Linked DNA regions of Nothobranchius furzeri. The protein of the gene in region 3 purifies or fractionates together with the protein of the main gene of each other region. This does not show direct contact. Links are inferred from orthologs where the notes say so. Each region holds a gene or a part of one and is shown on either strand. Other genes may lie near its edges.

The links.
Region 1: the proteins of ube2o (region 3) and recql4 purify together in Homo sapiens (affinity purification with mass spectrometry; 3 studies listed by BioGRID, with this or other methods). This does not show direct contact. The link is inferred for Nothobranchius furzeri from reciprocal best matches to the Homo sapiens genes UBE2O and RECQL4.
Region 2: the proteins of ube2o (region 3) and epb41l5 purify together in Homo sapiens (affinity purification with mass spectrometry; 3 studies listed by BioGRID and IntAct, counting the BioPlex papers as one, with this or other methods). This does not show direct contact. The link is inferred for Nothobranchius furzeri from reciprocal best matches to the Homo sapiens genes UBE2O and EPB41L5.

What each region holds. Positions count from the first base shown.
Region 1 is NC_091759.1:4,683,521-4,687,174, reverse strand, and holds part of recql4 (ATP-dependent DNA helicase Q4), read right to left. Parts: coding exon 3,641-3,654; intron 3,445-3,640; coding exon 3,328-3,444; intron 538-3,327; coding exon 382-537; intron 311-381; coding exon 218-310; intron 150-217; coding exon 13-149; intron 1-12. UniProt on the Homo sapiens protein: An ATP-dependent DNA helicase which unwinds dsDNA with a 3'-overhang in a 3'-5' direction. Does not unwind more than 18 bp of dsDNA. May modulate chromosome segregation. The N-terminal domain (residues 1-54) binds DNA Y-shaped DNA better than ss- or dsDNA.
Region 2 is NC_091754.1:14,719,245-14,722,898, reverse strand, and holds part of epb41l5 (band 4.1-like protein 5), read left to right. Parts: intron 1-1,208; coding exon 1,209-1,329; intron 1,330-1,486; coding exon 1,487-1,574; intron 1,575-1,717; coding exon 1,718-1,806; intron 1,807-1,896; coding exon 1,897-1,966; intron 1,967-2,632; coding exon 2,633-2,802; intron 2,803-3,057; coding exon 3,058-3,164; intron 3,165-3,654. UniProt on the Homo sapiens protein: Plays a role in the formation and organization of tight junctions during the establishment of polarity in epithelial cells.
Region 3 is NC_091747.1:74,395,276-74,398,929, forward strand, and holds part of ube2o ((E3-independent) E2 ubiquitin-conjugating enzyme), read right to left. Parts: coding exon 3,561-3,654; intron 3,492-3,560; coding exon 3,311-3,491; intron 3,209-3,310; coding exon 3,072-3,208; intron 2,014-3,071; coding exon 1,810-2,013; intron 1,737-1,809; coding exon 1,679-1,736; intron 1,050-1,678; coding exon 275-1,049; coding exon of another isoform or gene 271-274; exon of another isoform or gene 132-270; intron 1-131. UniProt on the Homo sapiens protein: E2/E3 hybrid ubiquitin-protein ligase that displays both E2 and E3 ligase activities and mediates monoubiquitination of target proteins. Negatively regulates TRAF6-mediated NF-kappa-B activation independently of its E2 activity.

The DNA.
Region 1 (3,654 bases), on a different chromosome or scaffold from region 3:
CGGAGTGTTTACCTGGTCGTCCATGAGAGAAACTAGCGGTGAAATGACCAAAGTGATGCATTTGGATCTCTGAGCGTACAGGTACGCCGGCAGCTGGTAACACAACGATTTACCCATTCCAGTGGATAACAGCACAAGGGTGGAGAAGCCTGGAGGTGAAGAACACACCAGCTTAGCCATATCCAGATGTGTGCAGATGTAATAGATTACTCTGTACCTGACAGGATCCTCATGATGGCCTTCTCTTGTCCAGGTCTAAAGGACTGATAGCCAAGCTCTCTTAAAGCAGCAAACACCTCATCGGGTGCTCCTGAACGCAAACAGAAAAGGTTAAAGGTCATATTTTATGTTTTTTTTTACGGGTTTAAATGCAGCGTTTACCCCGAACTTTTCCGTCAGCTGTGAGATGATAAAGTGGCTCCATGGGGGGCGGAGCAGGAGGCCGCTCGTAGTCGGGGCGAATCACATTCAGCAACACATCATCCCGAGTGCCGGTGTCCACTTCCTGTTGCTCCTTATCAACACTGTAGGACGTTGCTGCAATAGTTGTTTGTTATTTAGCAGAAATACGGAAAAGCTACATAATACGTCTCTGACTCCAACCTCACATCCTCGGTTTGCTTGTAAATCCCGGCAGAGTCTCACCTGGACACCAAAAGATGCCTGATTGAGTTGTGAACTACAAGCTTGAACTGGAAAAGGGTAGAACGTTCATGTTTACGCATTTGGCAGACGCTTTTGTCCAAAGCGACTCACAGGCGATCATGAAGCCATCAAACACTATTCAGTCAATCCTAGGCGGCAGCGTAATCAATCACAGAGGGGAGCGAACATGGAGTGTGCATTAGAGTGAGGGACGGGTGCTGGGAGGGTGCTAGTTTAGAAGATGCTCTGTGAAGAGCAGGGTCTTCAGGAGATTCTTAAAAGTGGACAAGGAAGCCCCTGTTCTAATACACACATCTGTGGAACGATACATGAAAAGAGTCGGGATTGTCCTGAGGGTGGTGTAGGCACTGCTGTCCAACGATCCTTCCATGGCCGGAGCGGCCGGGCTGAGACGTAAGCCTTTGCAGGAGGATTCAGGTGGATGGGAGCCGTACCACCCAGGACTTTGTATGCTAGTGTTAGCGATTTGAATTTGATGGTAAATGACCTTATTTGGTATAGCGCCTTCTAGAGTGCTGGAACCCCCCCGAGGCGTAGAGCCCTGCACGGGCCTAAAATCTGAGCCCGCGTCCGGCCCGGCCCGAGGGGGTGGAGCCCCAGCCCGACCCGGTCCGAAAAGGTTTTCAGGAATATCTGGCCCGACCCGAGCCCGACTTTTTTTTTTAACCTTTCATAAAGTTTTAGCGTGATAGAATGCTCCGCATTCTAATTATCTGTGAGAAGTATTCTGAAATGAAGAAAAAAGAAAAGAAAAGAAAGAAAAACAGCATCAATGCAGCTTTTTTTCCTAACAGAGCGTATTTTTCCAGCGGCAGATGAAATTTACGAACACCATATTAATTGGATGCGTTTGTAAATTTTATCTGCTCTGAAAATGCGCTCTTGTGCAATTAGAAAAAAAAAGCAGCATTCTAATTTTCTAACTGCAGAGCGCATTTTCTGAGCGGCAGATTATAATAAACGTTCCCAATTAATAAAGCGTCTGTAAATTTTATCTGCCGCTCTGAAAATGCGCTCCCCAGTTAGAAAAAACCAGCAATGAATGCTGTATTTTTTTTTAACTGCAGAGCGAATTTATTCACAGAAAAATAGAACGCTGCCGTTTTCATGAGAATAAACGGTTTCTGACATCAAAGTGGACATAAAATGGCATTTTAGAATAGGGGCACATGTTTCAATCAGCTGTTTGAGAATTTGTTTGTATAGGCGCATTTATGAACCACACACACCTTAACTGAGCTAACGGTGCGTGAGAAGCAGGCAGGTGCTGCTGCGTTCAAGTGTTTCAGTTTTTTTTTAATGAATTTGATTAAAAATAAAGGCGCCCGGCCCGGCCCGTGTCCGAGGTAATTACACAGTTGTCGGCCCCTAGGGCTTCAGTGCAGGGCTCTACCAAGGCGCTTTACAACACAACCAGTCATTCACTCATTCATACACTGGTGGTGATGAGCTACGATGTAGCCACAGCTGCTCTGGGGCGCACTGACAGAGGCGAGGCTGCCAAGCACTGGCGCCACCGGTCCCTCCGACCACCACCAGCAGGCAAGGTGGGTTAAGTGTCTTGCCCGAGGACACAACAACAGCGACAGACTGAGCGGGGCTCGAACCTGCAACCTTCCGATTACGGGGCGAGGACTTAACTCCTGTGCCACCGTCGCCCCACCGAATTTTATGTGTGCAGCTACCTGACACGCCTTCTCCAGGTCAGGAAAGAGGTCCGGCCCCACGTGGAGGAGTTTAAGTATCTCGGGGTCTTGTTCACAAGTGAGGGAAAGCTGGAGCGTGAGATCGACAGGCGGACTGGTCTGCAGCGATGCGGGCGTTGTACCGGTCTGTCGTGGTGAAGAGAGAGTTGAGCCGGAAGGCAAAGCCCTCGGTTTACCGGTCGATCTGCGTTCCTACCCTCACCTGTCGTCATGAGTAACCGAAAGAATGAGATCACGGATCCAGACTCCCCCCGAGCTTGAGGTCTGTGGTCTCCAACAAAAAGCAGCTGAAAACTCAGCTGCTCAGGCTGGCCTTCGTCATCACCTTCTCCTTATTCTGCTCTTTCTACCCATTCGGCAATTTCCCGGGATCCTCCGACTGACCTCTTTCCTATTCATGTTCTCTCTCCCTTTCCTTACATTTTAATCACAATTTTTATTTTTTGTCATTTTAAATATATTTTTAATCAGTTTTATATTTAAATTTATTTTTTTTATAAAGCGCCTTGTGAGTTTTATCTTGAAAGGCACTATATAAAATAACGCTTTCTTTCTTTCTTTTTTTACAAGCGGCCGAAATAAGCTTGGCTGTTCTGGGTTCTCCCTTACAGATACGGTGAGAAGCTCAGTCAACCGGGAGGGGCTCAGAGTAGAGCCGCTGCTCCTCCACATCTAGAGGGGCCAGTTGAGGTGGCTCGGGCATCTGGTTAGGACGCCTCGTTGGTGAGGTTTTCTGGACATGTCCTACCTGGAGGAGACCTTATGAAAGACCCAGGACACGCTGGGGGGACTACGTTTCTCAGCTGGTCAGGGAGGGAACACCTGGAGATTTTCCCGGAGGAACTGTCCCAAATGGCTGGGGGGAGGGAAGTCTAGGCCTCCCTGCTTAGGCTGCTGCCCCCACGACCCGACCCCGGATGAGCAGAAGGGGATGGATGGATGAAAACAAACGTACCCAGTGGCTGAGGTTGTAGTGTTCCCGTCGCCCTGGCAACCTCCTCCAGGGTTGGTAGTTCAAATGATTCTTCTTCTTCTTCTTCGGATTTATCCTCCAAAACAGGAAGTTGTGGAGCTAAAAACAAAACAAGAGGACTGAGATCAAACAACATAGGTCTTGTTACTGATCTTGTGCACACGCTGTTATCCATCCAACATGAACAATTATCTCATAAATCAGCTGGTTTTCTAGTAATGTCGGTGTTGCACCAAGACCGTTTGCTGTAAATAAAACCGGTAAGTCTGTGGGAGTGCTGCTGATGCGGCGTCACCTCGTCCCCGGCAC
Region 2 (3,654 bases), on a different chromosome or scaffold from region 3:
TTGTGACATTAACAAAGTGAAAACCGATACTGATCATTTCCAGTATTACATTTTGGTGCTAATATAGGCCGATAATATCTGACATCCATAATTAAAATATTCAAAGAAAGGTCTAAATAACAATTACCACGTACAGATAGTTTGTTTCTGCTTGCTTCTCTTGAACCAGAGAGAACTGACTAACTCTTTTGAACATCGCTCTTTATGACCAGAGTCTGTTATCATTGCCTCTGTGGTCCCTGAGGCACAAAAACTCTTCCTGCAAGATCAAACTTTGAGACAAGATCATGGTAGAAAATTACAGTAAAACTGACTTTGCTGCAAAAAGGGACTTTAGATCAAAACATGGAGTAAAAGTGGAGCCCGTAAAGAGCCAGAATGTGCAACATGGTTAATTTTCTTCTAAAAGGTAGCTGCTGGAGTCATTTTAGTCATTTCAGAAGCACTTGTAAGAGTCTGAGTCACTGGAGACATTTGTGGAATGAGATTGCGTGCACAGACTCTTGGACACACACACACACACACACACACACACACACACACACACACACACACACACACACACACACACACACACACACACATGCACACACACAATGAGGGGTAAGTGCCAGCTCATTAGTGTTCAGTCCTCTTCAGAGGCCCCCTAATCCAACACCCTCTCTGTTTTCTGCCTCCATTCTCCCATTTTTTCCCTCCAGAGTTACATTCGGGGCCATAAGCTTTCAAAGACATGTTTTAATCTGACTCTTTAGTCCGCCATGTTGAATTTTAAATGCAAATGCCAAGATTTTAAGTGAAATCTTTTAATAGCTATTTCACTCTTGTTGCTTAGGGATTTGATTAACTTTTCTTCAATTTTCTACTGGCTGAAAATAAACTGACTAAAATGATAGTTACTGATTATTTTAGTTTTTGTGTTTGAATTATTAACCTCCTAAATCCTGCTGTCCACTTGGGTGGACCTGTAATAATTTCTTCTTTTAACTTTGTCCTGTTATTATTACTCAGAGAAACAACTTTAATTATAGTTGTTTTACAACATTTTTTATTTAGAATATTATTATTTACATTTTATTTTATGCATTAGTTATTGGTCATTATTTACTAAAACAAGTCCTACAAACCCAGAATATGTCAAATTAAACTTACGTATGAAATAAAATGTAAGGTTTTAAAACGCTGACTCTATTCTTGCTTTATTCCAGCTGAACTAGGTGACTGTGACCCACTAGAACATAACCTAGACCTGGTGTCAGAATTTCGTTTCATCCCAGAGCAGACGGAGGAGATGGAGCTCGCCATTTATAATGCGTGGAAGGATTGCAGGTTAACATTTCACTCAATTAGTAAAACCTTAAACTTTATTCTATAGTCTTAATATTCTTGTCTAATGGTTGTATCATTACGTTTTTATGCCTCCAGTTGGTTGAATTCTTTTTTGTGTTTTACCTGTTTTTTTTTTTAATTATTATTTTTTTCTCAGAGGCCAGATGCCCGCACAAGCTGAGATTAACTACCTGAATAAAGCCAAGTGGCTAGAAATGTACGGAGTAGACATGCACATGGTGAAGGTAAACAACACCCTTCTTATTTGCATTATTCAGAATTAGAGATTTGAAGAATGACTCATTTGTATCTATTTTAAGAGTCGTCAAGTAGATTTATCCGAGTAGTTTAGTGGAATATCCATATTCTTGTTTTGTGTATATTTCAGGCCAGAGATGGTAATGAGTACAGTCTGGGTTTGACGCCCACTGGAGTTCTGGTGTTTGAAGGCCAAACAAAGATCGGGCTATTTTTCTGGTGTGTTTTGGCTACAATATAATAAACACATTCAAATAAATAATTTTAATGTCTCTAAATGACTTAAAATGTTTCTCATTTATTCCGAAGGCCCAAGATAACCCGTCTGGATTTCAAGAAGAGCAAACTGACCCTTGTGGTGGTGGAAGATGACGATCAGGTGAGCACCAGCTCACACTCAGCAAACATGCAACAAATGGTTACCCTTGTGTTATTTACTTTGGATGACGATAAGTCGAGTCTCCCAGAATAAACGAACACCATTCACTGGCTGTTTCAGTAAGAAATGGTTAATTCTTTCCCCATTTCATTTTGAATTTGTGGAACATTTATTACTTAATGGATCAAAAATGACATCAATAAAACTCAACAAACTCCACCTCGTCTGCTTTGTTCAACAGTAATCCTTTCAGTGTGTGTTCATTTAAAAAAAATTTTTTTTCAAAGCAGTTTTAGCAGTTTTTTTAAACACATGTTTGAAGGCTATCCAGGTTATAAAAAGTAACAGTTTAACTGAAAATACAATTTTATCTCCCCGCAAATTGTTTGTTGTTTTTCTGAATTACAAACGTTTAACAAGCCACCAGATGACTCTGACGCCGGATTGGCTCCAACACAAATTGTGCAACTAGCTGTGCTGCTTGGCAGGCTTCTAACCAGGCTACGAGTACTAAGCTAGTTAGTGAAGCAGCATCTGTTCTTCATTCTTTACTAATAATTCCTCTCTAAGAGGAAACGAGTTTTGCATACGTAAGTTATTCCTTTCAGTTTATGGTCGTGCTTTGGGAATAAAATGCTGCTCTATACCCACATCCATCTTCCCCAGGGCAAAGAGCAGGAGCACACCTTCGTCTTCAGGATGGACCACCCCAAAGCCTGCAAGCATCTCTGGAAGTGTGCAGTAGAACACCACACCTTCTTTAGGTTGAGAGGACCGGTTCAGAAGAACTCTGCACGGTCTGGATTCATACGCATGGGGTCACGCTTCAGATACAGGTACCTCAAATGACTTTGATAATGCAGCATGTCAGATACTACACATAGTTCCTCAGTAGCCAGCTTGTGCCACTCTGTGTGTTTAAACAATATCCAGCTGGATAAGCACGAGCGGTAACGTTGATTCAACACAGGGGTTGCTGGGTTTTGTTGTCAATAGAAGCGCGGACGGGTCCAAAGTTCCGCGGAGGTCATCAATCTGGAAGTAGCTGCTGATTTTTGATAAAATAACTTGTGTTTTGTTTTTGTGATCAGTGGAAAGACGGAGTATCAGACGACCAAGGCCAGTAAAGCGAGGCGCTCGGCCTCATTTGAGAGGAGACCCAGTCGACGCTACTCGAGAAGAACCTTACAGAACCGGGGTGATGATACACATCTTAGTCACACTCTTCATCTCAGAGGAGAAAGTCTGATATAATCAGAACCATCAAAAGTATAAAGATGGATGATAAATCTCCACCTCTTTTAATGTTAATGCAGGGTATCCGCGGGTCCTTAAAACGTCTTAAATTTCATTTTCCATATTTAAGGACTTAAAAATCCTTAAAAATGACAAATAACCATTAAATACAGTTTCCAAAGGTCTTAAATTACCAAAGACCCGATAAACAAGATTCTTTTATTACTATAAAATTTTCATGAATTTCTAGTTAGTGTTCAGCATTTTTTGTGTATGATGTTGCGTAAGCGGAACCGTACACATTTAGTTGGTTGTGAATGGGGGCTATTTTTAGATGAGCACATTAGCTGGTTAAGCTAGTGGGAGATTGCGCCATGGGGAAGTGCAAGTTTAATGGTAACTGGATGGCTAATCCCACGTTCGCGACGTGGTTAGCACCGGTTCCAGGCAAT
Region 3 (3,654 bases):
AGCAAAGCTTCCGAGCTGCTGTCCAGCGCTGATCGAGAGAGGAGTCAGAATGTTACGGAGGAGGGCAGCAGGAGCAGTAAAGGCGGAGACACGGAGGTGGAGGAAAGGTGTGGGCAGTGCTGGGGCACCGTGCAGCTCGGGGCGGGGTCCAGACTGGAACCCCACCCTGACTAGTGCTGATGGGTCCTCCTCTGTGACTTGAGGCGGGTGAAAAAGGTAGAAGAGAAGGAGGACAGGTCAGGGAGCAGTTAGAAGATGGTGAGGAGGCACTTACTTGTCCACCGTGTGCTCTGGGACGCCAGCGGCCGCCAGAGCGGCTTTGTACTGATGCAGCACGCCGCGGACGCTCTTCACAAACCCTTTGGAGAGCGGGAAGAGCGGGAAGCCGATGTCCGGGTACCCGCTGCCCTCCGGGAGGAAACTCCGGTAACTCTTCCTCCTTTTCTTTGGTCGAACCACTGGCTGGCTCCCCGAGGAGCCCGCCCCCCCCACGCTGGCGGACACGGAACCAGAATCTGACGTCCCAGTGCGGACCACAGAGCCAGCTTTGACCTCACCCCCCAGGGTGAGGTCACCGTCTGAGTTCTGGCTCAGCTCCTCCTGAGGAGCTGTAGTGGTGGACGGACTCAGCCCCGAATCCTCCAGCTCCTCCTCTAGAATACTGCTAACTCCCATCACCGCCTCATCACTGGGCTTACTGGGACTGCTGTGGGCCACAGCCACCAGTCCAGAGCCCGCAGGCTGCTGCTCGTCTTTCAAGTGGTGGCTCCTGGAAGAGGAGTAGGCCGAGTGGCCTCGCTCAGCGGCGTCGTGCAGCTCCAGCCACGCCTCCAGACGGTGCACGAGTCGCCAGCCGCTGGACACAAAGTGCTCCCGGATCTCCTGCTTGAAGACCTCCGCAGGATGCTGGAGGAGCTGCGTCATGGACTGGACCATCTTGATGAGAGCCATCTCGTTGTAGCAGCGACTGTTCTCATAGCCCTCCTGCAGACCCCGGTCGCTGTCGAAGCCGGCTTCGTTGTAGTACGGCTCGTTGACCAGGATCAGACCTGCAGAGGAACCGCCAGAACCACGGGCTCAGAAAAAACCCTAAAACACCTGGAGAACCAGGAAGTGCTGTGTGTGTGTGTGTGTGTGTGTGTGTGTGTGTGTGTGTGTGTGTGTGTGTGTGTGTGTGTGAGAGAGTGTGTGAGAGTGTGTGTGTGTGTGTGAGATAGAGAGAGAGAGAGAGTGAGAGAGTGTGTGAGCGTGAGAGAGAGTGTGTGTGTGAGAGTGAGTGAGTGAGTGAGTGTGACAGTGAAAGAGAGAGTGTGTGTGAGTGGGTGTATGTGTGTGAGAGAAAGAGAGAGAAAGAGAGAGAGAAAGAGAGAGAGAAAGAGAGGAAAAGAGAGAGAGAAAGAGAGAGAGAGAGAAAGAGAAAAGAGAGAGAGAGAAAGAAAGAGAGAGAGAGAGAAAGAAAGAGAGAAAAAGAGAGAGAGAAAGAGAGAAAAAGAGAGAGAGAGAAAGAGAGAGAGAGAGAAAGAGAAAAGAGAGAGAGAGAAAGAAAGAGAGAGAGAGAGAAAGAAAGAGAGAGAGAAAGAGAGAAAAAGAGAGAGAGAGAGAGAGAAAGAGAGAGAAAGAGAAAAGAGAGAAAGAGAGAGAGTGTGTGTGTGCGTGTGTGTGTGTGTGTGTGTCTAACCTTGTATGGAGATGAGGACTTGCAGCAGGCTGGACTTGCTGGTCCACCTCTCAGTCCCCTGTGGACGACAGAACCAGGGAGTTGAACTGGGTTGGGTCCAGTACTGGCTGGGACGGCCCAACAGCACTCACCTTTCCGATCCAGGTTCCCAGCAGGCTGACGCAGACTTTGCCGTTGTCGTACAGGTTGGGATTGAGGCGGCCGCTGCACTGGGACAGGTAGCGGAACAGCGGCGGCACGGCCGGGTAGATGTTGGGCAGCTGGATGTCGAAGAGGAAGAGTCCGTCCTCGTACGGGGTTCTGGTTGGTCCTTTGATCAGAGCTGAAAACAGGTCCTGTGTCACAGGAAGAGCAGAACTCACCCACTTGTTCTTTAGGGGTCAAAAGATGCCGGTGCTGGTGGATCACTGGTTACCCGAGTAGAATCACAAGTGTTTTCTCACACTCTTAACGCCGAGCGGAAGCAGAGCCGGTGCTGATCCAGAAACTATATTTGTGTCATCCTCCAGCTCTACATCTGTAGCTACGGCTGCACCGTCAGGCTGCTTCCTAATCTGGTCTATGAATGTGGTCCAGATGAACAGAAGGTTCTGCTGCATCCTGGTTCCGCCCAAACAACCTAACTGTGGCCAACTACTTTGTTGGTTTGATGAGTCTGAAGAAACAAGTGTGTTGTCATGGCAACACTTCTAAAGCAAACCAAAACAGATCTTTGGTGATTGGACAAAAAAACATCTACGTCATCAGGTGTGTGCATGCGTGTGCGTGTGTGTGTGTGTGTGTGTGCGAATGTGCGTGCGCGCGTGCGTGTGTGTGTGTGAATGTGCGTGCGTGCGTGTGTGTGTGCGTGTGTGCGTGCGTGCGTGTGCATGCGTGCACATGTGTGTGTGTGCATGCGTGCGTGCATGCGTGCGTGCGTGCGTGTGCATGTGTGTGCGTGTGTGTGCGTGCGTGCGGGTGTGTGAATGTGTGTGTGTGTGTGTGTGTGAGCGTGCGTGTGTGTGCGTGCGTGTGTGTGTGCGTGCGTGCGTGTGAGTGTGCGTGCGTGTGTGTGTGCGTGCGTGCGTGCGTGCGTGTGTGAATGTGCATGCGTGTGTGTGCGTGTGAATGTGTGTGTGTGTGCGTGTGTGTGCGAATGTGTGTGTGTGCGTGTGTGAATGTGCGTGCGTGCGTGTGCGTGAGTGAATGTGCGTGCGTGCGTGTGCGTGTGAATGTGTGTGTGTGTGCGTGTGTGTGTGAATGTGTGTGTGTGTGCGTGTGTGTGCGAATGTGTGTGTGTGTGCGTGAGTGAATGTGCGTGCGTGCGTGTGCGTGAGTGAATGTGCGTGCGTGCGTGTGCGTGAGTGAATGTGCGTGCGTGCGTGCGTGTCAGTACGGATCAGATAAAACCCACCATGCGGTCCTCGAAGGTCTTGACCATGATGCCGTCGGGCAGCGACGTTGCCAGCAGAGCCATCTCCTTCCTCACTGTGCTGAAAAACTTCTTGGCCTCTGCCGGCTGAAACTCCATTTTCTTAAAGGAGTGAGTGTCTGTTGGTGAGGAAACGGATGAAAGTGAACTTTACACAGCTGAGCTCTTGTTGATCTGTAGATTAACGGTTTCACACCCGTGTGAGGAACCCGTGACCTCACCTGGAGCCCACTCCAGCACCGAGAACACCTCCCCTTTGGCGCTGGTGAAGGTCACTCCAGGTTTCCCTCCACTCTGTTGGCACAGCACCGGCGTTTCGCTCAGGAACTCACTGGGCCACTCCTGGTTCCCCACCGGCGTCTGTGGCTCCTGCTGGGGTTTCTCCTCCGTGCTCCTCTCTGCCTGAGGAGACGCGGCGGGTCAAACCTCCTCTACTGACGAGGCGGATCATCACAGCAGCGGGACACCTACCTCTGTTCCTGCTCCGCCGCTCCCAGCAGACTCCACAACAGCTTCCATCTTCTCTTCCTCCACAATGGCCACGTTGTCCAGAGTCTTCCTCAGG